7 linked regions of the Solanum lycopersicum genome follow. The protein of the gene in region 1 binds, or shares a complex with, the protein of each later gene. Links are inferred from orthologs where the notes say so. Each region holds a gene or a part of one and is shown in the gene's direction. Other genes may lie near its edges.

Evidence for each region.
Region 2: mediator of RNA polymerase II transcription subunit 23 (region 1) and probable mediator of RNA polymerase II transcription subunit 26b share a complex: the UniProt entries of both Arabidopsis thaliana proteins name them as parts of the mediator complex. The link is inferred for Solanum lycopersicum from reciprocal best matches to the Arabidopsis thaliana genes AT1G23230 and AT5G05140.
Region 3: mediator of RNA polymerase II transcription subunit 23 (region 1) and mediator of RNA polymerase II transcription subunit 13 share a complex: the UniProt entries of both Arabidopsis thaliana proteins name them as parts of the mediator complex. The link is inferred for Solanum lycopersicum from reciprocal best matches to the Arabidopsis thaliana genes AT1G23230 and GCT.
Region 4: mediator of RNA polymerase II transcription subunit 23 (region 1) and mediator of RNA polymerase II transcription subunit 11 share a complex: the UniProt entries of both Arabidopsis thaliana proteins name them as parts of the mediator complex. The link is inferred for Solanum lycopersicum from reciprocal best matches to the Arabidopsis thaliana genes AT1G23230 and AT3G01435.
Region 5: mediator of RNA polymerase II transcription subunit 23 (region 1) and mediator of RNA polymerase II transcription subunit 25 share a complex: the UniProt entries of both Arabidopsis thaliana proteins name them as parts of the mediator complex. The link is inferred for Solanum lycopersicum from reciprocal best matches to the Arabidopsis thaliana genes AT1G23230 and PFT1.
Region 6: mediator of RNA polymerase II transcription subunit 23 (region 1) and mediator of RNA polymerase II transcription subunit 30 share a complex: the UniProt entries of both Arabidopsis thaliana proteins name them as parts of the mediator complex. The link is inferred for Solanum lycopersicum from reciprocal best matches to the Arabidopsis thaliana genes AT1G23230 and AT5G63480.
Region 7: mediator of RNA polymerase II transcription subunit 23 (region 1) and mediator of RNA polymerase II transcription subunit 31 share a complex: the UniProt entries of both Arabidopsis thaliana proteins name them as parts of the mediator complex. The link is inferred for Solanum lycopersicum from reciprocal best matches to the Arabidopsis thaliana genes AT1G23230 and MED31.

The regions. Positions count from the first base shown.
Region 1 is NC_090804.1:17,739,102-17,743,200, reverse strand, and holds part of mediator of RNA polymerase II transcription subunit 23, read left to right. Parts: intron 1-253; coding exon 254-402; intron 403-4,099. UniProt on the Arabidopsis thaliana protein: Component of the Mediator complex, a coactivator involved in the regulated transcription of nearly all RNA polymerase II-dependent genes.
Region 2 is NC_090809.1:61,265,770-61,270,499, reverse strand, and holds the start of probable mediator of RNA polymerase II transcription subunit 26b, read left to right. Parts: upstream 1-1,585; 5' UTR 1,586-2,552; coding exon 2,553-2,999; intron 3,000-3,606; coding exon 3,607-3,672; intron 3,673-3,773; coding exon 3,774-3,856; intron 3,857-4,730. UniProt on the Arabidopsis thaliana protein: Component of the Mediator complex, a coactivator involved in the regulated transcription of nearly all RNA polymerase II-dependent genes.
Region 3 is NC_090803.1:12,752,105-12,755,730, forward strand, and holds part of mediator of RNA polymerase II transcription subunit 13, read left to right. Parts: intron 1-226; coding exon 227-314; intron 315-399; coding exon 400-478; intron 479-910; coding exon 911-1,206; intron 1,207-2,589; coding exon 2,590-3,626. UniProt on the Arabidopsis thaliana protein: Component of the Mediator complex, a coactivator involved in the regulated transcription of nearly all RNA polymerase II-dependent genes.
Region 4 is NC_090803.1:5,625,740-5,629,691, reverse strand, and holds the start of mediator of RNA polymerase II transcription subunit 11, read left to right. Parts: upstream 1-1,152; 5' UTR 1,153-1,468; exon of another isoform or gene 1,469-1,473; intron 1,474-2,761; 5' UTR 2,762-2,776; coding exon 2,777-2,830; intron 2,831-3,808; coding exon 3,809-3,925; intron 3,926-3,952. UniProt on the Arabidopsis thaliana protein: Component of the Mediator complex, a coactivator involved in the regulated transcription of nearly all RNA polymerase II-dependent genes.
Region 5 is NC_090811.1:29,968,100-29,972,198, reverse strand, and holds part of mediator of RNA polymerase II transcription subunit 25, read left to right. Parts: intron 1-422; coding exon 423-476; intron 477-701; coding exon 702-730; intron 731-3,697; coding exon 3,698-3,766; intron 3,767-3,891; coding exon 3,892-3,976; intron 3,977-4,099. UniProt on the Arabidopsis thaliana protein: Component of the Mediator complex, a coactivator involved in the regulated transcription of nearly all RNA polymerase II-dependent genes.
Region 6 is NC_090807.1:2,029,146-2,033,294, reverse strand, and holds the start of mediator of RNA polymerase II transcription subunit 30, read left to right. Parts: upstream 1-1,349; 5' UTR 1,350-1,472; coding exon 1,473-1,871; intron 1,872-3,212; coding exon 3,213-3,311; intron 3,312-3,872; coding exon 3,873-3,971; 3' UTR 3,972-4,007; intron 4,008-4,088; 3' UTR 4,089-4,149. UniProt on the Arabidopsis thaliana protein: Component of the Mediator complex, a coactivator involved in the regulated transcription of nearly all RNA polymerase II-dependent genes.
Region 7 is NC_090802.1:52,519,242-52,523,857, reverse strand, and holds the start of mediator of RNA polymerase II transcription subunit 31, read left to right. Parts: upstream 1-1,417; 5' UTR 1,418-1,571; coding exon 1,572-1,609; intron 1,610-1,693; coding exon 1,694-1,791; intron 1,792-1,980; coding exon 1,981-2,077; intron 2,078-2,242; coding exon 2,243-2,321; intron 2,322-2,711; coding exon 2,712-2,989; intron 2,990-3,143; coding exon 3,144-3,159; 3' UTR 3,160-3,210; intron 3,211-3,382; exon of another isoform or gene 3,383-4,126; intron 4,127-4,581; coding exon of another isoform or gene 4,582-4,585; 3' UTR 4,586-4,616. UniProt on the Arabidopsis thaliana protein: Component of the Mediator complex, a coactivator involved in the regulated transcription of nearly all RNA polymerase II-dependent genes.

The DNA.
Region 1 (4,099 bases):
CCTTATATTCTAGAATATGCTAAGATCATGTAAATGTACTATAGCTTGATTTATTCCTGTAATTATGTTTTTAATTCTATTTCCCTTCTTAGAACACACACTTTTCTATTAGAACTCCAATGGCTTAGAGAATAATCAAGCTTTGCTCTCTCTCATTTTCTCTTTCCTTCTCACCGTGATCACTTTCAAGTAAGTGTTGTAGTTATTTGCAATTTATTGGAATAGTGACTTATTTTGTTAAAATTCCAAACAGATTAACTTACTTGACAGTAAGGAGCTCCAACAAAGAGTGAAAGTTTATCTCTTAAATCGTGGCCCGCCTGAGCATTGGCTTTCCCCTGGACCTTTCAAGCGTGTGGAATTGCAGAAAGCTCTTGGAAATTATCTGTCATGGAAGGAGAGGTAACAAAGTGAACATTTTTTGTTCTTCAGTGTTTTCTTTTGTTTGGTTGTTTGAAATGTTTATACTTCAGCCGGAGGTCTATCAGAAACAACCTCTTTACCTCTTAAGGTAGGGGTAAGGTCTGTGTAAACTCGAACCTCCCATACCCCACTTGTGGTATTACATGTTGTTTAACATCTTGGACATTATCATGTGCAATAAAAAAGTTCGTTATAGTTGGTGAATGTCGAAATTTTAATCGTCAAACCAAGTATCTCTTTGGTTATGTCCAATGCTTATGCATAGCTTCTATTACCATTGTTATACTAACATTTATTTTATGTAAAAGTGAGTAAATAAATACACCCATGTTTGACTTGATACAACTTCAATTGGATCAAAATGAACTTTTTAGCTCAGATTCAGTTTTCAATGTTTTATCATCAGTATAAAAGTTCTACATTTTTTTGTTCAAATGTATTTCTGATACTGGATCAGACAGATTTATATGATTCTCCTGATCGAATCAATTGAGATTCAACTTCATCTGTTTGATGTATTAGAATTGCATTTAGATACCCAAGATAATAACCTACTATCTTGTCTGAATTGACATGGAGATGGTGCTTTGTTACATCTTTGTGTAGAAGTACACACGGTGCTGAAAAATTTATAGTGACACTTTTAGTGTCATCCTTGAAGTTTTCTGAGGCTCTGGCTAACTTGGTTGACTAGTACAACAAAACCCACTTGACATTTATCTTGGAGAATCGATCCAATTAAACATAATTTGCTGCAACACACATCTTTTGAGCTCTGATCATTGGAAAATGCATAAAAATTCCTCTAGTTATATTTAAATTATTCACATGCTTATTGTTACCACTTCTCTTAAATATGTGATCACTGTTCTATCAAGTCCTTGAATAACATTATCACACACATTTACACCCAAGTGGTGTAGCAAACTCCAAATTCTTTTAAGGGAAAAAGGACAAATATAACCCCGAACTATCGTTAATAGTATATAAATACCCTTCGTCATACTTTTCGTTCATTAATACCCTACCGTCCGAAAATCAGTGCACATTTACCCCTCCCACTAACGGAAACCTTATTTAGTACACCTGTCGCAATCCTACCGCTCAACCTGATTTAATTAATTATTTAACCCAAAATTCAATATCCACCCATACCCATTTAACCCACCCAATTTACCCATTACCCATTTAACCCACTCAATTTACCCATTACCCATTTAACCCACTCAGTTTACCCATTACACACAAATAAACCCATTTTCTTAAGTCATCTTCTTTATCTAGAACATTCATTATTATCAGGCCTCAACCACCATGAACGCTCACTCTGAAACTCAAGCAAGAATTGAAAAACTAATTCCAACTAGATTAAATCCTCAACTTTCGACAGTCTACGCCAGCAAGAGTTAATTTTCAGTCACCGTCTTCTCATACGAACTTGAATTTATGAGATCTAATCGACATATTCTCTGCAAGAATCTGTTGACCCACTTGCTATACCCAATGTTCCACTCACTTCCCCACTAGTTTTTGCTTCTTTTTGCCCCCACACTCCACTTCTCTGCTCTGCATGTTTTTGTGATGATTGTTGTTGTTTCTATGCTGGTAGTGGTGTTTTGCGGCTGCCATTGGAATTACTGCTTGGCCTCATGGTGGTCGAGTAAATATGATTCTAAAATTACTAATGCACAAACTATTGAATTTGAAACTTGTTTTGATCTGTTCCTACTTCGTTGAGATGGCCCTACTCTTCCAAGCACTTCCTATCTGCTTGCTGCCAAGTTCCAATTACTTTTCGTTTTCCGGAGAAGTTCCAGCAGCTTCTGACCTATCCAACAACTTTCTTGCATTTCTGAACATATTTTTAAGAAAGCTTCCAGAATGAACTAATGTAGTGTCTTGGATACATATCTTTACGATATGTTTGGAAGTTCCAGATTCTTGTTAAATAGTTAGAAGATTAAGTTGTCATGATTATTCTTGTAGATGTATCTAGAGCATCCCTACACAAGTATAAATAGGGGTGGCAGTCCTTTGTAGTTAACCCAAAAGAAAAATATCCACCTCGAAGCAATTCGTGCCAATTCAAAAAGTCTTCATCCATAACAAAGTTCTACTATCTTAATTCTTCCTTCTCCTTTCATAGCTTCCTCTCTTCAGTGGAATCTTCCTACCATAATTAACGATCTTGGCTAGCAGAAGGTTTTTCCAATTATATTTTCTTTTGTTATTCTCTACAATATCATGCCTTTGAGAACAAGTCTAAGAAGGTTAGGTGCCTGCACACCTAATCCCTTGATTTCTACTACCAAAGCTATTGCTAATCATCAATAGTAGTTCCTTCCATATTCTAGCAAGGAAACATAATAAACATCGTGAATTCAACACTATGGTTCCCATACCCTTTGCTGCCCATGATTATTTACACAACTAACTTCAGTTCTTAGGCTACAGGTTCAAAATTCAAGACTAAATTCAAGTTTACTCATGAAAATTTGTCTATTTCCTTCTGTCTGCTAAAATCTTCTTGGTAGATTACTGAGTCCGAATTTAATCTTTTCAAGTAGCTGTATACTATGTGGCTTTTTTTCCATAAACGTGAGCCAATATGAAAATGCAGTTTTTGAACCTAAATGAGGAGACCATTACAAGTATGCAAAACCCTTTGTGCCGTGGTATGCGTCGCAGAAGAAACTACCTGTACTTGGCTCACTGACAGCTTTTTTCTGCATCTTCTACGGCATGGGAATTTCTTCCACTGCTTTATCAATATGAACTTTCTGCCTCTATCTTCCTGAAGTACGAAGTTTAATATGTCCATGTCATAGGAGGCCCACAGTAGTACTAGCAACTTGGTTTTACTTTTATTTGACATCCTGTTTTTGTAGATGTTGTCGTTGTGTGATCAAAGGGTCACAAGTTCAAGCCATGGAAACTCACTCTCGCAGTAATGGTTGGTAAGGGTGTTCACAATGGACTTAATGTGGTTCGGTCTTCCCCAAACCCAGGCGTGGTGCACCCGGCTTCCCCTTTTGTTTAGACCCTGGTTCCGCCAAACATCCTGTAACACATGTTTGTTGCCTTGAACTTGATCTTTATATCATTTGAAACTTGTTCGTGATTCAGGGTATTACGCGTTCACTGTCCGTCTAACGATTCATTTAATACTGTAAATTTTTGGGGTACATAAATTCATGTCATCTCACATACATCAGACACATATGGGACACATGAGGACTCTGAATGTCCATATCTTATGTATTCTTCTCCCTTTAGAAATTTGATAAGATGCGGAAAGACTTCTTCAGAAAACTACTTCTCAGGATACACATTCTTCCACTATTTCTAGTTCAATGAGATGAACAAGTGATAAATTTTCTAGTTTTTGTAGTACAGTTTGTTCAGCTCCCTTGAGATTTTTGCAAATGTTTTCCTCTATAGCCACGACAATATCACATACTTTAAGACTATCACTCTTTCAGATATGTTTAGTTGCTGACATCGGAAAACTAGACACATCTTTTATTGAAAAGAGTTTACTTCAAGGATAGCTCAGTTTGAAGTCATCCATAGAATTACAATCCACGTATGATACTGTTTTCTGAGTACAAACTTTATGCACTTCCAAGGTCTTTTATATTTAGCAGGCTAATAGTAGAAGAGTGTGAAGGATTAA
Region 2 (4,730 bases), on another chromosome or scaffold:
ATTTTTGAGATTTTTTCATTTAAATTTTAGTAACATTAGTCGAGAAAACATAATAGAGAAATAAAATGTCATATTATTAGTTGCACAATTAAAAAGTCCAAAGAGTCAAGTTTATTCAATAGTTTAAGTTATAGAAGATTAATGAAATTCTAATTGAATTATAGGTATCAAGTAACAATTATTTTGTCACCAAAATATAATTTTGTAAAAAAAATATTATGATAGTGCAATTTTTTAAAATGAAACACGTAAGATAAGAAAATCCAACATAACAATGAGGACCGAGATCATATAAACGTTACCTCGTTATTGATAAATGCATTGGAAAAATAAATAAAAAATTAAAATTTTGTTTTGTTTTGGATCAAACAAAAAAATTCTGTTTTTTTAATGAAGTTTAATTCCTTCGTATATTTATTTAGTATTATAAATTAAATTCTTTCGAAATAGAAAGAAAATCTACTATACAACACTAGCAATAGAAATTACAAACTTCAACAAATAAAAAAAATTATATGGTACTTTTATTTACAAAATACAATGCAAAAATAAGTAATTTGTATGTTTATTAGGATTTTAAGGATAATAACATCTTTATTGAAACTCTTTTTCTAATTTTAAGTTAATCAAAGAACGAACAAGTCCTAAATAAATAATTATAATAATTTCACATAACAATAACTTGTTCATTAAAATATAAAAAGAAATATAAATTTATATATAACATATTATGATTTATAAACTACAAAAAAGGAAACAACATGAAAAAATCTAATATAACAAAGGGTGGTATAAGACTAAAACAGGAGAATTAATTTTTTAGTCCACTTGCTATTTTTAAAAAGGCAAAGATAAATTGGAGAAAATTTAAGTTAAACTTTATATAAATAAAAAATTTACCTTTTTTATTTGAAGTAAAAAAATAAAACTCCAAATGAATAATAGTATCAAATAACAATAGTTTGTCATTGAAATTTGAATTTAATATAATATTATGATATTTTTTATAAACAGACAGTATTATGATAAAAAAATTTAATGTAAATATGACATTTTATACGAATCAAACGTAATAAGACTTTTTCTTAAAAATTAAAATAAACAATGTGAATATATATTTATCCGTATTAATTAAGCATCTTATTATTTTAACAACTTATATTTCTTTTTATATAAAAATAAATCAATTAAAACATACTTTAAATATTTTTTTATTTTTTATTTTCTTACTTTTAATATATAAAAAATAACATTTTTTTCTTATTTTACCATCGATATTAATTGCTTACTCCTTGCTCATTTTTCAATATCCAAGACTATACATCATTCATCAATTAATATATTCACAACAAAATTATTATTATTATTACGAAATATATTAAAAATAGATAAATAAAAATAAATGAAGAGGATATATTATTTTGTAATTCCATAAAAAAAAACATATATAAAAAAAGAAAACTACTTCAAAGCAAAGAGATAAATCACTTCCTTAACTTGAAAATAAAAATCATTTCCTTTCAGATTTTTCTTTTATTGTTTTTCTATATTATGTCACTATATTTATTTATTTCTTATCATCCTTCTTTGAACTGAACACAGTTAAAAATAGTTTTTCTATGTCAAAGAGATATGAATAAAATCTATATCCATATCATTTCTTTAAACTTTACTTATGAACCTATATCAAATATGTTATTCTCATCGTTATCGTTGTCATCATCAAAGTTATCCTTATGAATTTCATCCATAAAAGAAGTTTTCAAAATCCAATTTCCATTCTATATACATATCAGAATTCGATTAGTTCAAATTTCACACTTATTCATACTTAAAATATATATTTTATATACTGACAATCTCTCGAGTTAAAAATGAAGGAATCAGAACCATCTCACCACGATCCATGCTAATGACCGAAGAAAATTGATCCTTATCACCTACCCCTAACCCCTACCCCCCACCCCCAACAGAGAAAAAACAATATTTTTTCTTCCTCTCTCTCGTGTCTCTTTGAACCAGCACCTTGTATTGCTTTTTTTTTTACAGAGAGAGAAATATAATTAAAATAATAAAAGATAGCTAGAGAGAGAAAATCTTCTATACTTTTTTTTTAACATATATTCTTTTTCTCTGGAAAAATTTCTTTCAATCGGAATAATTTTTTCTAGATTTCTCTTCTTATATCTCACCAAAAACTTAATCGGATTTTTATTTAATTTTTTTAATTTTGTTTTGTCATTTTGGGTTTATAGAGTTTCTATCATATGGATTTTTCCTAAAAAAAAAGCATAAAAATCTGTATCCGATTGCATTTTGCAGAACTGAATCGCCGGTGACACTGATTATTCAGTTTCCGATCATCGGAAAAAGTACCTAATCGGAAAACCAGAGGTTTTTATTGCTAAAAACCTTGTTTCCGATTAGAATTTGTATGATTTTCTTGTGGGTATAATTAAAATCGGATAAAGATTGAATTTGTATATTTGGGTATTGATAAATAATTGATTTTACGATCTGGGTTGATTTGTTTTTGCTCTGAATCATCAGTTATGGCGAAGAGTAGTGGGACTTTGGATAAATGGAGGGACTATTTTCGTACTGCAAATTCGGATATATTTGATATAATTGAGTATGCAGTGATGGTTGCTGCTGTTGATTGTCCAAAGGAATTTAAAATGAGAAGGGATAGAATTGCTGAAATGTTGTTTACATGTAAAGTTACTATGTGTTTTGGTTGTGAGAAAGTTGATTTAGCTGTACCAATTGCTGGTAATGATGATGAAGGAAAAATTAAGAGTAAGGATGAGTTTGGTGGTAGTAAAGAGAGCAAAGTTAACAGTAGGATAGATCATCATGATGTTGAGATGAATGTGAATCAAGTTAGCAATTATAGTTATGGAGAAGCTGAGGCATTAACTGAGGAAATGGAGGAAGAGACTCAGACTTTTGGGGAGGTGATGAGGATCAAAGATGTCATTGATAACAACCAAGCTGAGGTTCATTTCATCTCTATTGAATTTTGGTTATACTGTTGATTTGAAGTATTTTGCTGTGTTTGGATTTGTTCAGTCAAGAATTGGTGGACTCTGTGTATGTGAATTTGAAGTTTGTGTACTTTTGGGGTTGATCAAGAAGAAAATCTTGATAATTGAGCTTAAATGTTGTTAAATTTTTGGAGTTTCTGGTGTTGTATGACATATAACAATGGTTACTTTTATGGTTGAATTTAATGATTTGAAATTTCTGTTCTTGTGGGGTTGATCAGGAAGAAGAATCTTGATAATTGAGCTAATGTTGTAAGATTTTAGAACTTTTGTGGTTGAATTTGATGGTGATTCTATTTTCTCTACTAGTGTCTATAACTGGAAAATCTGATATGAGGTTGTTTTCATGTCACAGTTAGGAAACCTTTATGCTTTTCATTTCCTTTTTGCCCCCTTTTTGTTCCTTTGATCTAGTTGTACAAGGATGTTGCTTTCTTTAGCTTTAAAACAATGTATGAAGCTACTTTTAAACTCTTTATATCTTTTGCTATTTCACTTGCTTGGTAGTTTTGAGCTTTCCTCTAGTAATCGGGTTTTGAGTTATTGTTCTTTTTGACAGTCTGCAGAGTTGTTTGAGTGCTTAAGAAGGCTTCAACTAATGGCTTTGTCTGTGGAGACTTTAAAGGTTTGATCTTTTGACGCTTCCAAAATTTCATCTTCCATTTATTGTGGTTACTGTTTTTTAAATTTATTCTGGATGGACATAATTGATTGCTTCTATATCAGGCCACAGAGATTGGAAAGTCGGTTAATTCTCTCAGAAAGCACAACTCAAAGGATGTTCGGCATCTATCTCGGACATTGATTGAGTAAGTAACTCTTGCTTTATTGCTGAAATAACTGTAAGAATGTCGTCAAAATATGTATGCACAACACAGTTCTAGTAGTCTGATCCGGGGTATCTTTAATGTGGCTGAATTTGTTTTATCGCAAAGGTTTGAACTTTTGTCTTCGAGTTGAACTAACATGTCGTATTGGTGGCTCTGGCAGCTTGCTTTGTCGGTTGTAGTTTTGAAGCTATTATTACTTTTTAACGCTTGCAACTGTTTGTCGCTTACCGTTTATCTTTACCGTAAAATTAAGATTTCATCATAACTCAATCATCAATGCATACTAATGATGGTGATTGCTTCATTTATCGAGTGCTGAATTTGTTTTTATCGCAAAGGTTTGATCTTTTGTCTTTGAGTTGAACTAACATGTCTTTTTGGCGGCTCTGGCAGCTTGCTTTGTCGGTTGTAGTTTTGAGCTATTATTACTTCTTAACGCTTGCCACTGTTTGTCGCTTACCGTTTTTCTTTAATTGATGTTATCTTTAATGAAGATTCCATCATAACTCAATCATCGATGCATACTAATGATGGTCATTGCTTTATTTATCGAGTGCTGAATTTGTTTTTATCGCAAAGGTTTGAACTTTTGTCTACGAGTTAACTAACATGTTGTATTGGCGGCTCTGGCAGCTTGCTTTGTCGGTTGTAGTTTTGAGCTATTATTACTTTTAACGCATGCCACTGTTTGTCGCTTACCATTTTTCTTTAATTGATGTTATCTTTACCGTAAAATGAAGATTACATCATAACTCAATCATCGATGCATACTAATGATGGTCATTGCTTTCTTCATCGAGTGCTTCGCAAAATTTTTGTGACTCACTTTGGTAGTCCCTTTTTATTTATCAGA
Region 3 (3,626 bases), on another chromosome or scaffold:
TTTAAGGCTTCAACCTTGATTACTCAATTAAATAAAAGCATGATGGAGCTGCATTTGGTTCTCCTTTTCACTTTTTAATGTGAAGGGCTCACTAATCAGTACAAAACAAGTGTAGAGGACATTCCAGACATTGTATTTGTGATACTAAATTTATTTGAACTACTTTTTCTGTTTCTGGCCTTAATTTGCTATTTGAAGGGAGAAATAATGTCTTTTGACATTGCAGATATCAAGACGATTGGCTTAAGACGTCACCTAGTTCTCTTCAGTTCTGGGAGAAGGCACCTTTTGAGCCTTATGCGATGCCCAAGCATGTAAATTTTTTAATAACTTCAGGCTGTTCTCTTGCTTATCTCCTCAACTATTATATTGCCTTACCCATTTTCCCCAACATTTCAGATGACATATCACGTTGTCTGCCCAGACATCAATGCTCTAACAACAGCTGCAACTGATTTTTTCCAACAGCTTGGAACTGGTTAGTATTCTTAACTATCATACTAAACAGAAGATAGTGTATCGGTTACGTTTATGTGACTCAAAATTATAGTAGATGCTTTGTGCTTTAAGAAGATAAATATTCGGTATCCTAAAAGTGTAAAGCTGCACTAATTTCACAAATTGGCCAGTTCTTATTTAATGTTGCTGTATTTTGTAACTCAATCTGCATGACTCTTTCATTTTGAAGATATGGACAAGATCAGAGATGGAAAAATGATATTGAATTAATTAGAAAAAAGTGATTAAATTATTGCTTCTCATACAAATCCAGCTTCGTAACTGTCCTTGACATAGATAATGATAGTGGTATGTTTGTGTCATGAAATTTTGTTACCTGATATTTTTTGAATGACTTATCCGCAGTCCAATAGACTTCCCCTTTTTTTTTTGATTGACTATTCTCTTTTAGTTTATGAGACATGCAAACTGGGAACTCATTCGCCTCAATTTATGGGAAATGAGATGGAGATAGATTCTGGCAAGAATGCATCTTCTGGTTTTGTTCTGATTGATTGCCCCCAGTCAATGAAGATAGACAGCAGTAGTGCATCTATGCTGGGATCGATCAGTGATTACTTTCTGTCCCTTTCCAATGGATGGGATTTAGAAAGCTATTTGAAGTCGCTCTCAAAAGTTCTCAGAAATTTAAAACTTAGTTCATGCATGACCATGAATCCGAAAGAAGGAAGTACTGGTCCATGTACGGTAAGTTGTGATCCTCTTTGTTTCTTTTTTATATCTTTTCTATTTTTCTTCCCTATCTTGCTTTTGTCCTCTTTCTCCCTCTTTTTTCTCATTAGCACTAAAACTGGAAGATGCATCTTTAAAGTGAACTTCGTTGAGTCCATCATTGATTGGTGGAGATAATTGGTTTTCGATGTTAGGGCAGTCTACCACTTTCTCTTGATAAGGGGGCATTTTTGTATACTTGACCTTCTTTTGGCAAAGCAAAATGGGAAGAGTAGATTAAGCCAAAAGAGTGATTCCGTATTAATTTTTTGGCACATGTACTTCATAAGTATTTTTTTGGCACATGCTTCATAAGTAATTTTACTTCTGGAAAAGAGAACGCAAAAGGAAAAACTAGAAACTACAGTCAAAGTAGAACCTTTCCCACTGCCTTAGGTGCCTCCACTACATATCCATTTGTTTTAATATGATTGGGCTTAATTATAGTGCTTATGATGCCAAACCTTGGGATCCGGAAGTGTTAAGTTGATAGTGAAAGAATGACTTGCACGATGTCCTAGTGTCTTGGTGTGCTATGATAGTTACTCCAAGGTGTATTTTCTTTTGCACTGGTCGAGTAGGTCACATTTACCTGAGGCTAGTGAAACACTTACTAGTTGGATGAGCAAATAGAATAAGGGATATTTATATATGTTTCGTCCTAGATAGGGATTAATATTATATAGAAAGATACATCTGTTAAAAGGGATTAGTCAACTTCCAAAATGATAAAAATCTAAGGTAGAGCAGCAGCAGAAGTCATTGGATTCAATAGACACACCAATAATCAGAAGTTTTCTATATATATGAATTTATTCAATGTTTGAGAAGCTTAAGTAATACACACATTTTTTTTTGGGAAAAGAGAATGAGGCAACTCTGGCTAATGGTAAATGGCTCTTCTACTTCTGGTTGCATTTCTGAAGCAACACTTGCTGATAGTTTTCTTTTTTCTTAGTTTAGGATATCCACTTATTTCATTATTTTTGTCTTTGAATATACTGATATGAATATCTTTATTATATTCCTATCAACTTTTATGCGGTATCAGTACAATATAATGGCCTTGAATGAGAATTCGACATGCTATTCTGTTGGGACTTGGGTCCAATTGGGGTGGAAAGAGATAACTGGAATTCATATAGCCGACCTTACTAGTTCAGGATTGAGGGCAGTTGTTCTAAGGTTATTTTCTGTGCTCCAAGTGTTGCATATTCCATAGTTGCAAATCCTTCGAATATCATATTCTCAAAGTAAAAATCTTAGAAGAACGTAGAATATCTGATCTAAGCAGAGTATTATATGTTAAGGTAGTTAAGAGAAGCTTATATCTGATTGTATATTTGAATGTCAAATCAGGTGGTATACGTGGTTTGCCCTTTCCCTGAGCCTCTTGCGGTTCTACAGACGGTGATTGAATCTTCTATTGCTGTTGGATCTGGGGTTCTTTCTTCAGATAAAGAGAGGCGGTCTACGCTGCACAATCAAGTCGGGAAGGCCTTAAGTTACTCAGCAGCTGTGGATGAGGCACTCTCAAATGTTTTAACACTTTCTGGGTTTTGTATCCCTAAACTGGTATTGCAGATTGTCACCGTTGATGCAATTTTTAGGGTTACAAGCCCTGCTCTGAGTGAGCTTGTCATACTGAAGGAAATTGCTTTCACAGTTTATAACAAAGCCCGCAGAATATCTCGAGGGTCCCCCAGTGACATGGTTCAGTCGTCATCCATGCCCGGTAGATCTCATCCAGTTCTGATGCAAATGAACTCCCCAGTTCCAGGAATGTGGAAGGACTGTGTTGGTCCTCGAGGCATAGGAACTTCCCTTCAGAGAGAAGCTGACCTTGATGCAAACCTAAGGCCTGGTAGTTGGGACAACTGGCAAGCATCAAGAGGGGGAGGTCTTGGATGTGAGCCAAACAGGATCGGGGATTTTTCTTTTCAGGATGAAATTCGTTATTTGTTTGAGCCCCTTTACATTCTTGCTGAACCAGGTTCATTGGATCGTGGACTTTCATTTCCGATGTCGGGTAATCCAATGACTGAATCTTCAAAGCTTTTGTTGGATGATGGTACAAGTGGAAGTTTTATGCAGAGTTCAGCTTCTTCAGGTGGTGGAGACACTGGACTGAACACTCAGTCTGAAACATCTGTACCAGATGGTTTTGGATCTGCACATCAAAAATCACTTCCAAGCCTGCATTGTTGTTATGGTTGGACTGAAGATTGGCGCTGGCTGGTGTGTATATGGACAGATTCCAGGGGAGAATTGCTTGATAATCATATATATCCATTTGGGGGAATAAGTAGTAGGCAGGATACGAAAGGTCTGCAATCTTTGTTTGTGCAAATTCTGCAACAAGGATGTCAGATCCTTCAGTCATGTCCACCTGAGGC
Region 4 (3,952 bases), on another chromosome or scaffold:
ATGTTTAAAATAGTTTCTCTCTATAAAATAATTTTAATATTAAAAGCACATCGATATTTGTTTTTTTTCGTAATTTGACTTTCAAAAACACTTTTTAAAAAAATTATTCAAACACAAATTGCTTATAAAAACACTTTTTAAAAAAATTAGTCAAACACATATTGCTTATAAAAACACTTTTCAAATGAATTTGCTAAAAAGTTTTTTTAAAAAACTTGTTTTAAGAAAACGTTTTTGAAAATAAATAGTTTTTAGATTAGTATATATTCATTTAATCAGCAAATGTATTTTTAAAGGGAAAATTGTATATAGCAAACTAATAACCTAAAATAAATAGAGTAGGTAGGGTTTGATTTAATTATGCTTCATAGTAAACGTTTGCAAAAAAATTGTCAGGCGCCTCTATCCCAAAAATCTCGTTCGCCACTCTCCTCCAATCTCTCACTCGCTTCCTCACTTTTTACACAAACACAAGTGTATAAAAATTGTTTCTAATTGTATAAAGCAGAGAAAATTGTATAAATACATATATTTTTGTTCCTCTCTCTCCCCTCTTCCAGGTCTCGCTCGCCACTCTCCCAAATCTCGCTCGCCACCCTCGCCTTTCTCACTTATACAAACAAAAGCGAAATGTATAAATTGCGTTTCTGTTTGTATAAAGCATGAGAAAATTGTATATACACATGCAAGTACATATATTTTCGTCCTATACAATTATAATTATACAATAAAAATACCACCCTGCCCAATTTCTTTTGTCTTTCTCTCTTTCTCGTTTTATACAATTCTCAAATTGTATCTAATTTCTCTCTTTCTCGTTTTATACAATTCTATTCAATTGTATATTCCTTGTCAAGTCTTTTTTGTCTTTCTCTTTCTCATTTTATACAAATTCAAATTTTATATAATCGTTCTATACACTTATAATAATGCAATTTGCTTTATACGCTTCGTTTTTATACAGTTCTCTGCCCAAGTGTCTTTCTATTTTTTGTTTTATACACTTCATTTTATACAATTTGCTTCAACTGTATATGTATAGAGAATTATATAGTTTCTATGTGTTAAAGAATGACAAAAAGTCCCACATCGGTGATTAATGAGATGAGTGAACTCCTTATAAGGCTTGAGCAATCCTCCACCCTTTGAGCTAGCTTTTGAGGTGTGAGTTTCCTTTTGAGCTAGCTTTTGGGGTGTGAGTTACGCCTAAGACCTAATTTCACACTATGTTGAATTTTTTGTTTGCTATATCTTTTTTAAAACCTTTATAACATATTAAACAAATAAAAAATTGAAAAAATGTTTTTTTTTAAAAAAAATATGCGTTAATTTAAGCAATATGTTTATTCAATTACATGCTTGTATGATAAAAATAAAAAATAAAAATTACAGGCAACAACTCGGAGCTGAGACTATCTCCGACCACCGGTGACTGCCGTTCTTCTGCCACTCATAGCCGCCGTTGAAGGTAAGGTATGATTGACTTCTCACTTGTAGATGCCGATATCAGACATCTCGCTGGCTCCTTTTTTAATAATAAGAAAAATATTTCGTGCCTGTGCGTCTTATATGTATTTGTATTTGTATCTGAGCTTTGTTTCACTCATGCATGATATGAAATATCGTTGTGCATTTGAGCTGAATTTGGGGCTTTTTGGTTCTTTCGGAGCTTCAGGGATTTGTAATTTGAGGACCTTATTTTTTTGGGTCCTAAATCCACTGCTTGCTTTAGTGGCTGGCTTTAGGGTTGAGCCGCTGCAGTCAGAGATATGAGTGATGAATTCCTCCAAAAAATGGAGAAGAGAGAAGATGACAAAGAGTTAATGAAGTAAGTGGAATATGAAATTAGTGAGGTTTTGAGAGTGTAGGACAAATTTGGAACAGCGAAGAAACATAAGACTATCACTGGTTGCTTGTTTAATAAACTGCAGATCTCAGGTTCAGGGCTATTGAACGATTCGAAAGAGCTCATTCGGAGTTGAGTGAATGGCTACTCCGAGATAGAATTTGAAAAATTGAATTCAAATTTATAAGACTATTGAACAATTAGAAAATTGCAAAAAACGAAATGATTCCATTTGAACAGTAAGGGGTGATTAATCAAGTCTGGCAATGGGTTTGAGTGTCGAAGGAAATAGCCCCTTTGCAGAAATGCTAGAGGAAGACGGTGAAATGTTAGGATTGCTCGTTTGATAATCAGCAGGTCTTGGGGGTAAAGGCGGAGCTAGGATTTGAAGTTTACGGGTTCAGTGTTCTAGTCCTTGATCGTTCGGTATGGGGGATGGAATAGACAAGGATTTCTCTCGTGGGATCAGCTATCCAACTTCTATATGGAATAGCCAATCTCAACATTTTAGAACATATCGCATGAGATTGTTATCCTGCATCTTGCCAACTACACGCAGGATAAAATAATCTCTTATAAATTAATAATTTATACATATTAAATAGATTTCTTAAGACAAATATAGAGTTCAGAGAAAAGTTGTTGATTTCGGCCAAACCCGTACCTTGAAAGAGTGTAGTAGGGTGGTAAGTTTAATGGACATAATACTTATTAGATGTAAGTTTTTCTTCTGTTTTCGGATTGATTACAGAGGATTTAGGTTTCTGATTGTTTAATTATTTGACTGCAAAGATCTCAGAACCAAAATCTCTGAAAACTGCACATAATCAGGTTTTATAGATTCTGTTTATTTCTCCACATCTAGATCGCTCTACGGCATTGCAATTCAGTAATCTTTTTCTCCTGTCCTGACAGCTTCCCTCAGAATACATGGATTCGCAAAGCCAGAATACTTCATTGCAGCGGCTGCAAAATGTTGAGAAGGTAAATGTTTCTACAGGATTATTGACTTAAGATGGGTTGATTTCAGTAGCTGCTATTCTTTGTCATCAAAATACTTAATGTTCTGATTTCAGAATTGATACTACAATATTATTCCTTCCTTGCCCGAGTCCTTGTTACTTGTTCCCCTATCCTGTATACCAAAATGTTTCAAGAAAGAAAGAGAGCGAGGAGAGTACTTTTTGAATTTAGGTGAAATCCATATTTCGTTGATTGGGTGAAACACATAGACAAGCTTGAAGATATATGGATGGTGTTATGCCTCGGTAAGGGACTCCACCATTGAGCTCTCCTAAGCCTTCTGGAGTTCCGGATCCTTCAATTTCTGGGACAACCGGACAAATGAAATGAATGAGAACAAGAGCCGCTTGGCTAGATAACCATGACTAAGAATTTCATGTCACCCACCTAACTGTCAAAATGGGCTGACCCAACCCAACTCAACCCATCCTCAAATCAGCCAAAATAATATAATTCGAAGTCAGAGAATGAAGATGGGAATAGTGTTGAGATGACGACAATGATGAATAAATCAAAGACGCTGTGGACCGAGAATAGGATCTGAAAGGGCTTTTCAAACTTCTGCTTCTGTTGGTTGCTTTCTTCCTGTCTGGCTCATTGAGTATCTTCCACAAACTCCAGGCTGATCTTCAACAGTTGGAAATCAAATCGTATTCGAGATCGTCCTGTCATATGCCCTGAATATCTACTGACACGAGTTTTCTCTGGTCTAACGGAAACAGCATCTCTGTTGTTTCCTAGTCATTGGTTTCTTCAGATTAAAAACGTGGAGATGATATAGCATGTCAAGTGCAAAGGCAACTAATCGTAATTTGATGAGTAAATCACGATCATAACTTTCAATGCGGAGTCAGTAATCACTTTTCTTGATAGAAAAAATTGTAACTGAAACATTACTCTCATACCTTCTGTTGCTGTATCTTCCTCTGATGCTTGCAGAGGATAGTCAGAGTTCTGGAGCTAGCAGGAGGTGTAATGGATGAAATGGCAAATCCGAGCGGCCCCAGGAAGGAGCTTATTAACAACCATTGTAGTGAGTTCATGCAACTAATCAAGGTAAGGACATACTTTACTTCTTTGCAC
Region 5 (4,099 bases), on another chromosome or scaffold:
AATGGTTGCTCTGATGTTTGGGGCTGAGGATAGAACTTATTCTGATGCATAACCAATTACTTTAACTTTTGAAAGAAACAATTGTTTTAGACTTTGCGCAGAACCAGCAAAATCATATTTGAGGTTGTAAGACCACAATTTTGAACTTATAGTTTATACTGAGGATATGTCTATACCCTTGAATAGTGTGATAATATGCAAGTTATATACTACAATGAGAAACTGGGTTGGTATTTATTCAATTTTTTGAACTGCTGTTCTTTTCAAGAACTCTGATTATTTTGCTATAATTTTTCGTCATCCCGATCGAATTCATGTTTTCCCATATCTTGTTTTCTTTTAGAAACTACCTACAAGAAGCTCTACATTTCTGTATGATGTTAATGAAGTACTCCTGATAATTTGTAATGAAAATGTTGCAGGGAAACTTATCTGGTCAGAGACAGGGGCAGCCTGTATTTATTACCAGATTGGAGGTATGCTTATAACTTGTCTTATTGGAACTTCTAGTGATTACAAGTTCTTTTGTGTTTTTTGATCTTTTTCTAATGGTTATCATTAAGTGATAGTGTCTTAAAGAAGGCAATCCAGCTTTTGTGTTGAGACATGAAGTATTGCCTACTTATCTCTTCATGTTGTAAAATGGTTTGCTGGATCTCTACTAACTGTACAAAATCTTGTGATCCAATTTCTTGTGGCAGGGGTATAGGAGTGCCTCAGCTTCTGAATCGTAAGTTTTCATTTTTATAAATGCTTGATTTAGTGATTTCACAATGTCACTTACAATAAACAATCCTACTATGTTGTTTTTTGTGTTTGAGTTATCGCACTGTTTTGTTGTTGTCTTGCTTCCTTCTGGTAGACTCGCACTGTTTCCTTGTTACTCGCTATATTTTCTTCACTGTCTCCTTCTTTGTACTTGGATTTTCTGCACTTGACCCGGGGTTTTTTCGGAAACATCCTCTCTAGCTCCTCGAGGTAGTGGTACAGTTTGCGTACATTCTACCTTCCCCTGACCCCACTTGTCGGATTTCAATGGGTCTGCTGTTATTGTTGCAACGTTCCCATTCCTTGTTGGATTGTGAAGGGACTATATATTTGTCTTCCATAAGTTGTACGGATATTTGGTAGTTGTATTTTATAGTGTAAGTTTAGCTATGCTACTGTCTTTTCCATCTTCGAATTGCAAGATCTTTTATTTTACACCTAAAGAACTCTGTTGTCATGATGCACTGATCTCTCAAATTTAGCAAGATCAGTAAATGGTAGAGACACCAAGGAATTCCTGATTTAGTCTTAGAAACTTGTTTCTTGAGGGATTCATCTTTTATAAAATTCTTTTTTTCTACAACTGAGACATTATTCTATAACCCATTTCCCTTTACAATTTTTTCTCAATCTTGTCAAGAGAAATATTCCATGATGTAACATCAAGAATCTTTGATCTCTTTGAGTGGTATTCCTTATATTAGTATTGGTTACAAGTAATATGATATTTATAATCCATCGACAGGATGGGTTTCATTTGGTTCTCTTTGGGATGATAAATGACCTACTTAACTCAGTGGTTAGAGTACTGCTTTCATACGGTGGGAGTCATTGGTTCAAATCCAATAGTATGTAAAACTAATTAGATACCAGAGTCAATGGTATCTAATAAGGTTTACAACCCACCTTTAGTGATTTTTTTTTTTTTGATTTTGTATCTTTTCTATTTCATTTTTTAATTTGAATTTTTGCATCAGAATTGGATTCTGTTTGATTGTATTCACCCGACAGAATCTAAATAGGATTAGAAAGAGAACTTCTTTTTATTATTCGAACGTACCAACTAGTTATGAAATCGGATTGCTAGCCTACTTCTTCAAATTCAATCCTTCAACACCCACTTGCTCCAAACTAGCTCACATGTTGTCATAGATATTGCTTGATATTATGTTCTGGACTAGAATGAGAAACGACACTCTATTTCTTGCTTTAACAACGCACTAAAAATTGCTGGCTTCTAAAATACAATTACCAAACATAGAATGTCTATCAGAAGGTGACCCTACCAATCAACATTGGTGTATCCAATGATCTGCTTATGGATTTGAGCCTCGAGTGTCAATGGGTCGTAGCATAAGCTTAACATTCAGTTCCATAGGAGTGCCTTTGGATTTACAGCCCATCTTATCTCTTCAAGAATCTCAGAAGCATATTTTTGTTAAGAAATAGGAATAAAATACCCTTTCAGGAAGACCCAATTGATTGGGCTTTGGACTTCCATGTTGGAGGTTTCAGCTTCGAAACCCCTTGCTAGCAAAAAAAGATGTTTGCCTTCTTGGTCGAGCTCGTCTCACCGGGTTTGCCTAATGCAGGTAACTTCTCCTGCGTGGTTCGTAAGCTATTGCATAGAAGTGAGGGATTTTACCCAGTGCGCATCCAAAGGGTAGCGGTTGCGGGTTTCTCATCATTAAAAAAGGAAAACAATACCTAGAAAGTAACTTCATTCTACCCAAATTATTTTTCTGAAAGTGCCAAAAGATATGTTGTTTAGACTAGTGATACCATCACAATCATTGTCAATAATAACTATATTGTCACCATAAACCACTAAATAAATACACAAACTTGAAGTTGAATGTTGATAAAACACAACTATCAGCTTCACTACCAGTCATGCTGAATTCCTAAATAACTATGTTGCACTTACTAAATCAGGCTTGAGGAGATTGTTTCAAACCATAGAGTGACCAGTACGATCGACATACACTACCACTAGACATCCCCTCAGCAACAAAACATAGTGGTTGCTGTATATAAACTTCATCATCAATGTCGTCATAGAGAAAAACATTCTTAATGTTCAATTCATAAATTGGACAATGGCGAACAACAATCATGGATAGAAAGAGGTGGACATATGCTATTTTAGCCACATGAGGGAAAGTACCACCACAATTAAGCCACATATCTGATGATATCCTTTGGCAAGAAGGCGGGACTTAGCTGATCAATTTGGCCGTCTGGACCAACTTTGACTACATAAACCCAACGATAGCCAACAATAGATTTCCTGAAGGATGAAGGGCAAGTTCCCAAATACCACTTGCGTGTAAAGTGGACATCTCCTCAATCACTGTGTGCAACCATACTGGATGAGAAATTGCTTCCCTGGTAGACTTAAGAATGGAAGTAAGTAGCAGACAAATAGAGTTCTTTTCAGATGTACTCTAGCGTTGGATAGGCAGGTGAGATCTAGCCAATCTTGAAGTGTTTGAAAAATAGGATTAAGCGATGACAAATTTTTGGGGTGTGCTGGCAGCATTAGTTGGATGCTTGTGATTCCTTTGATGAAAGTTGTACTTCTCCGGATTGCATTATATTGAATTGATGTGTGGAAGGAATCTAATTCTCTAGGGTAACTAATAAATTTGTGGAAGGAATCTAACTCATATTTTAGTTTTCAGCTATAATTGTTTAGTCGATGTAGAAGTTCTTAAACCAAATGTGATTCTTTGTTCGATTTGTGGTAGCTACATAGGAATGATATACAGGATGCTCTTATGTATTTGAAGCAAATGATGTCATTTCTGGAAAATTATCTTTTTGTTTTTCTGTTATGCATCTTTAGTCTTCTTTTCACTTCCATAATGCAGTGTTTTTTTAACTGTATTAACACTTGGAATTGATTTGTCCTTTGTGTTTTTGTCAGGCTTGCTGCAAATTGGCCTCCAACAATGCAAATTGTTCGCCTTATTTCCCAAGATCACATGAATAACAAGTAATTCATTTTAGATCAATTAATTTTTTGCTTGGTGGATCTTTTTCATGTTAGAAACATTTTCTTATTATTCGTCCACAGTGCAATTACTGCTTTATGAAAATTACATCTTTGTTTTGGATCAGACAATATGTTGGGAAGGCAGATTTTCTAGTTTTTCGGGCAATGAACCAGCATGGGTTCCTTAGTCAGCTGCAAGAAAAGAAGCTTGTAAGTGTTGTTACTTTTAAATATTGAGTTTTAGCAGCTAGAGACTAACCCCTTTTCATTGTAGTTCTTTTATAGGTTGCCTGCATCTTTGTTGCATCCATTTGAACTGCCCTATTCTCGTTT
Region 6 (4,149 bases), on another chromosome or scaffold:
GATACATCCCAAACTATTGTAAATGGTACGCAAATACCATTCGTCATACTTTTGGGACATTAGTGCCCTTGTCGTCATACTTTTGGGACATTGGTGCCCCTGTCGTCGTACTTTTGGGACATTGGTGCTCCTACCGTCATACTTTGGAGACATTGGTACCCCTGTCCCTTCGTTAGAGTGAAGGGCATATATGCTCTAATTTATGAACGACAGAGACATCAATGTCCCAAAATAATGACTGAAGGTATCTGCATATCATTTACGGTAGTTCGAGAATATATTTGTCATTTTTTCCTTTTTATAAAATAAATTTATTTGAATTTTAAAATCTGAAAAGTGTCTTATAAAATGAAATAGAAAGAATATTATATATATATAATATTTTAATTTCTATTATTAAAATGCACAATAAGACTAATTATCGATTCGAATGGTGTTGTCTTTTTTTAATTAGGTATTAATGGCACGTTGAATAAAAAAAAAGGAATCTTTGATTTGTTTCTTTCAAAATCTCAAATGGAAGTTTTTAAACATTTCTTCTTTCGCTTTTTAATTTTAATTGGAATCACACTTTTTTTAGTTTGCATCTATTTGCGATACATAGACTCTCTCTCATTCACTTTACGTCTTTTTCACTCGTCTTTTTTTCTATAAGTTTATATTTTAAAGTGTATATAGTAGTATATTACATGCATCTAGGTCTATATGACTTGACATCTAGTATGAAATTACTAATTAGAAGACGATGCGTAACTTTTCAAAATTATGAAAAAAAAACTACGTAGTAAATATGATAGGAATGTTTATGTAATCTGGTAATTTTTCTGCAACGTTAAACACAGATATTTGTGCACTTCTTTCCCCCATTGAATTTCGGGGAACTTATATACACGTACTATAATTAAAAAAATATTTACCATTTATAGCAATAATAAAAAAAAATTACTTAATCAGTTTTAATTTATTTATAATACAAGTTTTATACATATTATAAATAACAATTTAATATTACATATAATACAAATTTTAACGATGGATAATACGTTTTTCACACATTTTAATACATTTATAATAGAATGTGTCAAATTTAGTAAACAAACTTAATATATTTCAAAAAACAACTTATAATTCACGTACATTGCATACATAATTCACTTTTAATTCATATTGCAGATTTTACATAATATTGCTATAAATGACAATAAATAAAAAGTATCGCTAAAATCAGTAATTATTTATTAAAATGTATTAATTTATATAATTTTTCCTTGAATTTTGACCCAAGTAACTTGATTTTGGGCTTGATCCAGTAATACATAGCTCCTTACCCGGCCCAAAAAGTACACGCCACGCATAAAACGACGTCATTTTATGCTTAAATTAATTCTCCTTACAACTTCTCGCACCGCCGATCGCCACCACTACCGCCGCCGTCGATCTAGGGTTTTGACAAGCCGGTGACATTACCCGGTATGGAGGATAAAGGCACAATTACAAGCCCTAAAACCATACAAGAACTAGCAGTAGAAGGGCAAAAGCATTTAGAAGATACAATAGAAGCAGCACATCAAATTCTCTCCGCCATGAACGATGAACTCTGTAATCCATCACTTTGGTCCACTCTAAATACAGCTGCTGCTTCTTCTGCGGTGGCGGTGGCCGGTGGAGGAGTTGGTGCTAGTGGTGTTTTGAGTAATGGACAGCAGCACCATACAAACGGCGACATTTCGTCTGATACTTCTTCGTCTTCTTCTGCTTCAGCTCAGCATTTGGATATTGGTGGTGGTGCTCTTGATGAATCTCGTCTGCGTTATAAGTCCTCTATTGCTTCCTTGCGTTCTGTTCTTACTGCAATTTCTAATTCCCAAAAGGTAATTTTACGTATAAAAATGCAATTTTTTAAAACATTTTTGTAATTGTGTGATATCTGTAATTTAAGATAGTGATCTCAGGAAAAGTTAGTTTGATGTAATCATGAATCAACAATGGCTTGATCATAAACTAGTTCGGTTCAGCTATATGAATGAATCACTTCTAGTGAAGTCCATTAAACAGAAAATGTGTAAAAGACTGGGGCTTTGTTCAATGCCAAAGGTAGTTCAACGTGACCGCAAAGATTTGGATCCAACGTAGATAACCTCTAGTTTTAGAGGTTCCAAAGGTTAAAACTATTTGATACTGGAGTGAAGTGGTTCCATATGGATATGGAGGATTCGTATACTTCCACCACCAACCAGCTTGTGTTGAGCCATAGGTGGTGTTGGTGTTCTGTTAGATGGTAGTTTTGATTGGGAATGAAACTCAAATAGATATTCTAGAAATGTAGTTCCTTCGGAGTACTGTAGGAGAGAAAAACATTATCCAGTTTGAGCAGAAAAAAAAAGACATTATCTAGCGATAAAGGTAAATTCAGTGTGAAAAGTGTTTGGTGATTGATCTTAATCACAAAACAAGGGGTTAAACAGTTTTGGTGATTGATATGGGAAAGACATCATGTGGTTATATACTAGCACAATTTGCCCTTACCAATATGAGCAACATTTGCACATGGCAATTGTATATTTTGATGTTCTAGACATGGGGATAATATTTCTTCACTATGAATATAATATTCAGTCGTTTGATCATCCCTCGTCATCAGTTGATGAAGCTCAACTGTGCTGCTTACTCTTTTTCTGATTTGTCTTATATTCTTCTGGGTTTGTGGGTGGCTGTTGGGGGCTGGGGATGGGGGAAGATATTTAACTATGTTTTCGAGGTTGTTCTTGTTTCTGCTGTTTAAACGCACATGAGGTATAAGTGTTTATACCAAGATAAACTACTGCGTGTTATCCTTTTCAAGAAAGAATTAGCACTATAATCACATCTCAAGTCCTTGGTGTTGGTGTATGGATTGCCTTAACATTTGTGCATTGGAGAGAATCTGGTTAAGCAGTAAGAATTTTGTTTGTCAGTATGAACAAATAAATCACTGATGTTGAGTGCATTTTTGTTGCTCAACATATGTCCGACTACACATTAAATGAGTTCTTTTAGTAACTTCTTTCTTAAGAGTTGTGCAAGTATTTGCTCCGTTTTAACTGGAAGTTGTCAAACTCTCCTTTCTGTTGTCTCAATTCTCATGATTAACAAGTTATATTTTCTTGTACATTTTGGAAAGTTGTTAACTTATTGTATGATACTTCACACTCATTACTGGCTTTGTTAGCTAGGCAAAAGCATTGGAAGCTGCTTCTGCTAGTGGTTCACTATCTGCAGCAGATCAAGCGGAAATTGAGCAGCTGGAAGACCGGGCCTCTTCATTAAAGAAGGTATTGATAACATATCAAATTTTGACATATTAGAATTTCCTTGGATTTTTGTTGGTTTTTGGGATGCATGATGGGTGGGTTTGGTGAAGCAAATGTGTGTGCCAATATTTGAACCTTGACTGATGTCTTCCTTGATCCATTGAGTAATTTCTTATCCATTAAAACAATATTGAGGTATACTACATGTTACATTTTCATTCCGGACACATGACAAAATGTCTTACTGTACAAACTTTCTCAAGTCTCGATATTTGTCACAACCTCAAATCAGAACAATATGATTTTGTGATAACATATGAAAACTTGGTTTCAACATCCTCTGCTTGTTGTACATACTGTATTATTATTAATTTTATTCCTATTGCGTTAAAATTAGTCAAATCCTGTTTCATTTGCTTTATGTCTCCCCCTAGTGGCAATAAGAAGTCCTCAAGTGAAGGTAGAGTTTTATCGTACTTGAGTGCATGCCTAATAGTTTTCTATTATCTTACGGTAGTGAAAAATCAAGTTGCTATTGTGATCAAGATTTAAAGCATATTCTATTGTTCTTACAAATTGCAGGAGCTTGTAGACAAGAACAAGCATCTCAAACTTCTGATTGACCAGCTTCGAGATCTTCTTGCTGACCTATGTACATGGCAGAGTCCCTGTTCTACATGACTCTGCTGCTATAACTTCAACCATACAATTAAATCGGTGAGGTGTTAGAGATGTCAAAAGAGCAACGTATTCAATCTTAAGAAACTGTTTTATTTTTTTTTCACTTCTTTTGTACAGAAGTTACTGCTAGATTCAAAAAATTGGTCATCGCCGGACACCTGCTATATGCTGCTCGCGG
Region 7 (4,616 bases), on another chromosome or scaffold:
GCTGGATTGCAGCCTTCCCTAGAGAAGCATGGAGCTCGCTTTGTGAAAAGGGCATCTCCTTGTTTTACTCTCTTTGGTTGAGGGCAAAGGATGTTCTAATTCAAATAAGTCATTAGCTGACATAAATTTCAACTCTGTGGATGATGTTTTAGGTTCTGGGGATTGAGAATTTTTTTCTTTGCTAGCTTGCTCAGATGCTTGCATTTTGGGCAGCAAATGGAAAAGACAAATAAAATAGACAGTTTGTTGGAGATGGTCTGAATTATGTATGGTTGTGGTTTGGTCACTCTTAAGCTCCCCTCTCCTAAACCTCCTTATCCCCAACTTCAAATCCTAATAGCTACATGCAATAAGACCAATGGTGTTTAATTTTATTAAAGGACTATTTATTACTCCATGTTAGGGTAGATACAAAATGCTTTGGTATAGACAGAGATGAAGATTTTGTAGTGTATGGTAAAGCGTCTTGTTAATAGGAAAAAGCATGGACATACCAATTGAAGTAGTCCAAATTGGTAATTGTATAAAGGGTAAACAAATCTAAAATTTGGTTGGAAACATTGGTCATCGAAATATGATTTCGTAGTTGTAGGTCCAAAACCCCCAATTTCCATGCTCATTTTAGGCATGGTATTATGCACCTCTCTTTCATGACACATATATTCAGTTGTGGCCCGTAGACATGTTTCTTTGAGAAATAACCGAAACAGAGTCAACTTGAATTCAAGCTTATAAATATCAAAAGTGATATAAGATTTTTATTCCAAACCAAAATCATGAAGGTTGCATCCAAAATCGCCCTTTTTTTTTTAACCCCTTGGACTAAAATCACAATTTTCACATTTATATAACTACGAATTTAAGCTTAAAAATTCATGCATACTAATAAAAAACTGGTCAAAACTTAGATATAAAGCGCGCAAGCGAGACTCAAAAACGTGTTGAGGGCTTCGCGTCGCTTTATGTGCACTTTAGTGTCTTCACCAATGTTCTAAGGCAAACGTCACCTTACCAATGAGCCTCTTATGAGACAGTGAAGTTAAATCACTGATATTTCACTTTGTCATAATTATTTTCAATTTCTTTGATCATATATTTGACATATTCATGTTTATAGTTATTAGTTTTGGACTAAACATGCATACTTATACTCTTTTCCTCCCTTTGCGTCTTTTTTCATCAAAGCTTACATTTTATTTGCGCTTAAATTCCCCATGGATCGTAAGAGCTTTTTTGCGCTTTTCATCTTTAGTAACACTGGTATAATCACATATGAGAATTATGACTTCACTTAAAAAAAAGATTTCTAACCATTTCAATCTGATCGACTGTATAATCTAGGTGAGTAAATGAATCTAATGACACACTCATATTGAGCAAATAAAAATTAGGATCAAAATCAAATACAAGATGTCATTTTAACACTGAAATTTTATTTCAATATGAATTTAATCCATTTTTACATTACATCTTAAAAATGCAATGAATTTCAGACTTTCCTTTTGTATATATAGCGCAGCAATACAATCAACGGCTAACTTTGAAAAGTAGAATTAGTTAGGGTTTAGCGCATGGCTTCTACATCGAATCCAGAAACCCATGAATCACCGTAAGCAGAATCAATTCATCTCAAATCAATTTGCATCTTCGCAAATTCACATTAATCAACTGTTTTTTCTGTTCCAATTTGCAGGCAGAAAAGCGTCTATAAAGATCCCGATGATGGGCGCCAACGTTTCTTACTCGAACTCGAATTTGTTCAATGCCTTGCTAACCCAACTTACATTCACTGTATCTATCTATCTATTCCCTTCTCTTATTTAAACATGATGTTTTCTGGGTATTTACCAATTATTGTTAGTTTTATGTTATATATGTTGTTGGTGTGAAAATGAATATTGGGTTGCAAAAGCTTCAATTTTTCTATCCCTTTTTCATTTTTTGTTTTGTTTTGTGGACTTTGTATTGATTCTGATGCAGATTTGGCTCAGAACAGATATTTTGAAGATGAAGCTTTTATTGGGTACTTGAAGTACCTTCAGTACTGGCAACGACCTGAGTACATAAAGTTTATAATGTAAGTTAGTTTATAGTATTAATATGTGATAATAGTTATGTATGTTCTTTCTACTGCAACTTTTTAGATGCAGTGGATGATGGTCCTTGTTCCTTTTCTGTTTCCTGTGGACTATGGATATCGTTAACTAATCGTATTGGTTTTCCTTTCTTGATGTTAATGCAGGTATCCACACTGCCTATTCTTTCTCGAGCTTCTCCAAAATCCAACATTTCGTAATGCAATGGCTCATCCTGCTAACAAGGTAAAAAGTTATGTCATGTGTTGTCCTGGTTTCCTTCTCCACTTTTGCTATACTCTTTAGTTAGTTAAGACTGTCAGCCACTATAAAGAAGGTTCACCCCACTTTCTGTAAACACAGTTTCTATGGACTAAAAATGCTGCCAAAACACTTTATAATACATGGTACTTCATTGTCTTAGCCATTAGCCTTATTTCCATTTCTGAACTTTCCCGTAGTTTCTAGGCATAAAACTTATAATTATTTAATCGTGTTGTCGAGGTTAATTCTCGCCCCGAGGACATCTCATCTCATTTCACTGTTTATTATTTATTGCACTTTGTTTGCCAACCTAAAGTTCTGGCACATAAATCTGTGATAGGATCTGATCTACATGTTTGTAACAACTATTAGGAAGTAGCACATAGGCAGCAATTTTACTTCTGGAAGAACTACAGAAATAACCGGTTGAAACATATTTTGCCGCGGCCGCTTCCTGAGCCTGCAACTGCACCAAGTTCTGCTCCACCTGCATCACTACCATCAAGTGTAGCCCCTCCAACTGCTCCACCTCCTGCTCCTACACCTGTTACAGCTGCAGCTCTTTCCCCGATGCAGTATGCCATCCCTCCTGGATCTGGTCTTGCTAAAACGGACCCAAGGAATGCTTCTGTTGATCGAAGAAAGAGAAAGTATTTCCTCTCCTCTTTTACTTTTCTCTTACTGTGAAAACTTTGTCAATGCTTGTTGTTGCATGCTCCCTCTTGTTATGATTTTATATTTTAGGGTTAGATTTGTGACGTAATGTTTCTGAAATGGTTATTGACTTGGATAATTTTGTTTTAGCAGGAAAGACGGATAATTTTATTTTACTCATAGCACAGACCTCCTATCAACTAATTTATGAATTAAGGTAATACATTTTGCACCCCATGATTTCATTTTTCGAATAGGTGTTGCAGTTCCTCATTGGCAAACACATTAATGAAATCCTATTAAGAGTGTGATTTGTTGTTTATTGAATTTTAGAGTCCTTCCCAAGTCTCAAGCATGATCAATGACCTGTACTTTCTTTCTCATGTCAGAAAACATAGTGCTAAAGTTTTGCGAGAGATCAACTACACATTTGTTGGGTTCACTAGGATCAAATTTCTTTAAGAAATAAATGTAGAACTAATTTTATTCCCAAACCAAGTAACCAAAACAGAAAGGAAGCAGCCTGCCTTTGAACTCTTTTGGGATGCCCTCGTTTGTGGTTTCAATTGCTTAATTTTTTAGGCTTAGCTCAGACATCTGGTGATAGGTGACTGGAAGATTGCCAATGCACACTTATAGCAGTAATGGGTTATCAATGGAGTGAAGAATTCGAATCACCATATTGACATGTGAACTTCAGATTTTGATGATAAATGAAGGAGCAACTTCTCTAGTGTGGTCTAAGTATATGAACCTTTGCCTATAATCTATGGTAAATGGGAGGAGTATTTATGGTCTTTGATGCACTTCACTTGGGCAAGGTTACGGTCCCTCTCCTCGGCTAGCCTGTACGAATTCCTATAATCACCTTTGCCTTTGTAGTTATTCTTTCCCCTTCGACTGTTCCAATTCCGTGTCCTCAAAGTTGCAGGTACTGACTCTCAAGGGCCTACTGTCTTTCCAGAAAACTAACAAAAGAGGAACTTTATCCATTTGGCTTGAATTGGGTGGTGTGACACTTAAGAATCGGTACAACCTAGATCTATAGACCTGAAATTAAGTGCAGCACACAAAATTATATTAGCTGTATCACTTTCATTAACGGAATTCCAAGGATTTCATGTTATCACTCATCTCTTTTCTCGTTTTGGTCAAGTGAAGTGCTTCCCCATATATATTTATGAGTTTCAGTTTGAAACTATGCCGTGTGTCCTTTTCTCGACAAGATGTACTCTTTCCTATTTACTTAACACATAGTTCTCCAATGTAAAATCAAGTATTGTGCTTATACTTTATTCTGGTTGGTCAAATTGACCTAATTGCGACTTTGTGACGACTCATTAAACTTATATATGCTTAAGCGGAAAATTGGGTAATACTCCTATTGAGCATATGATGTGTTTCTTCCATTATCTTGATAATGTCAGTTCTTTAAATTTAAGAATGGCTTTTGGGTTCTATAGGAGCATTACACTGAACATATTACTTTGTGTTAAAATATTCTGATTATGCGTTGGTTCTTTAATCATCCTATAAAAGCTATGTTGCATCCTATTTGTGGAATCTAATTTCACAACCACACTTGTAGGTGATCATCCCTGGAATTAGACTACATCCTATGTT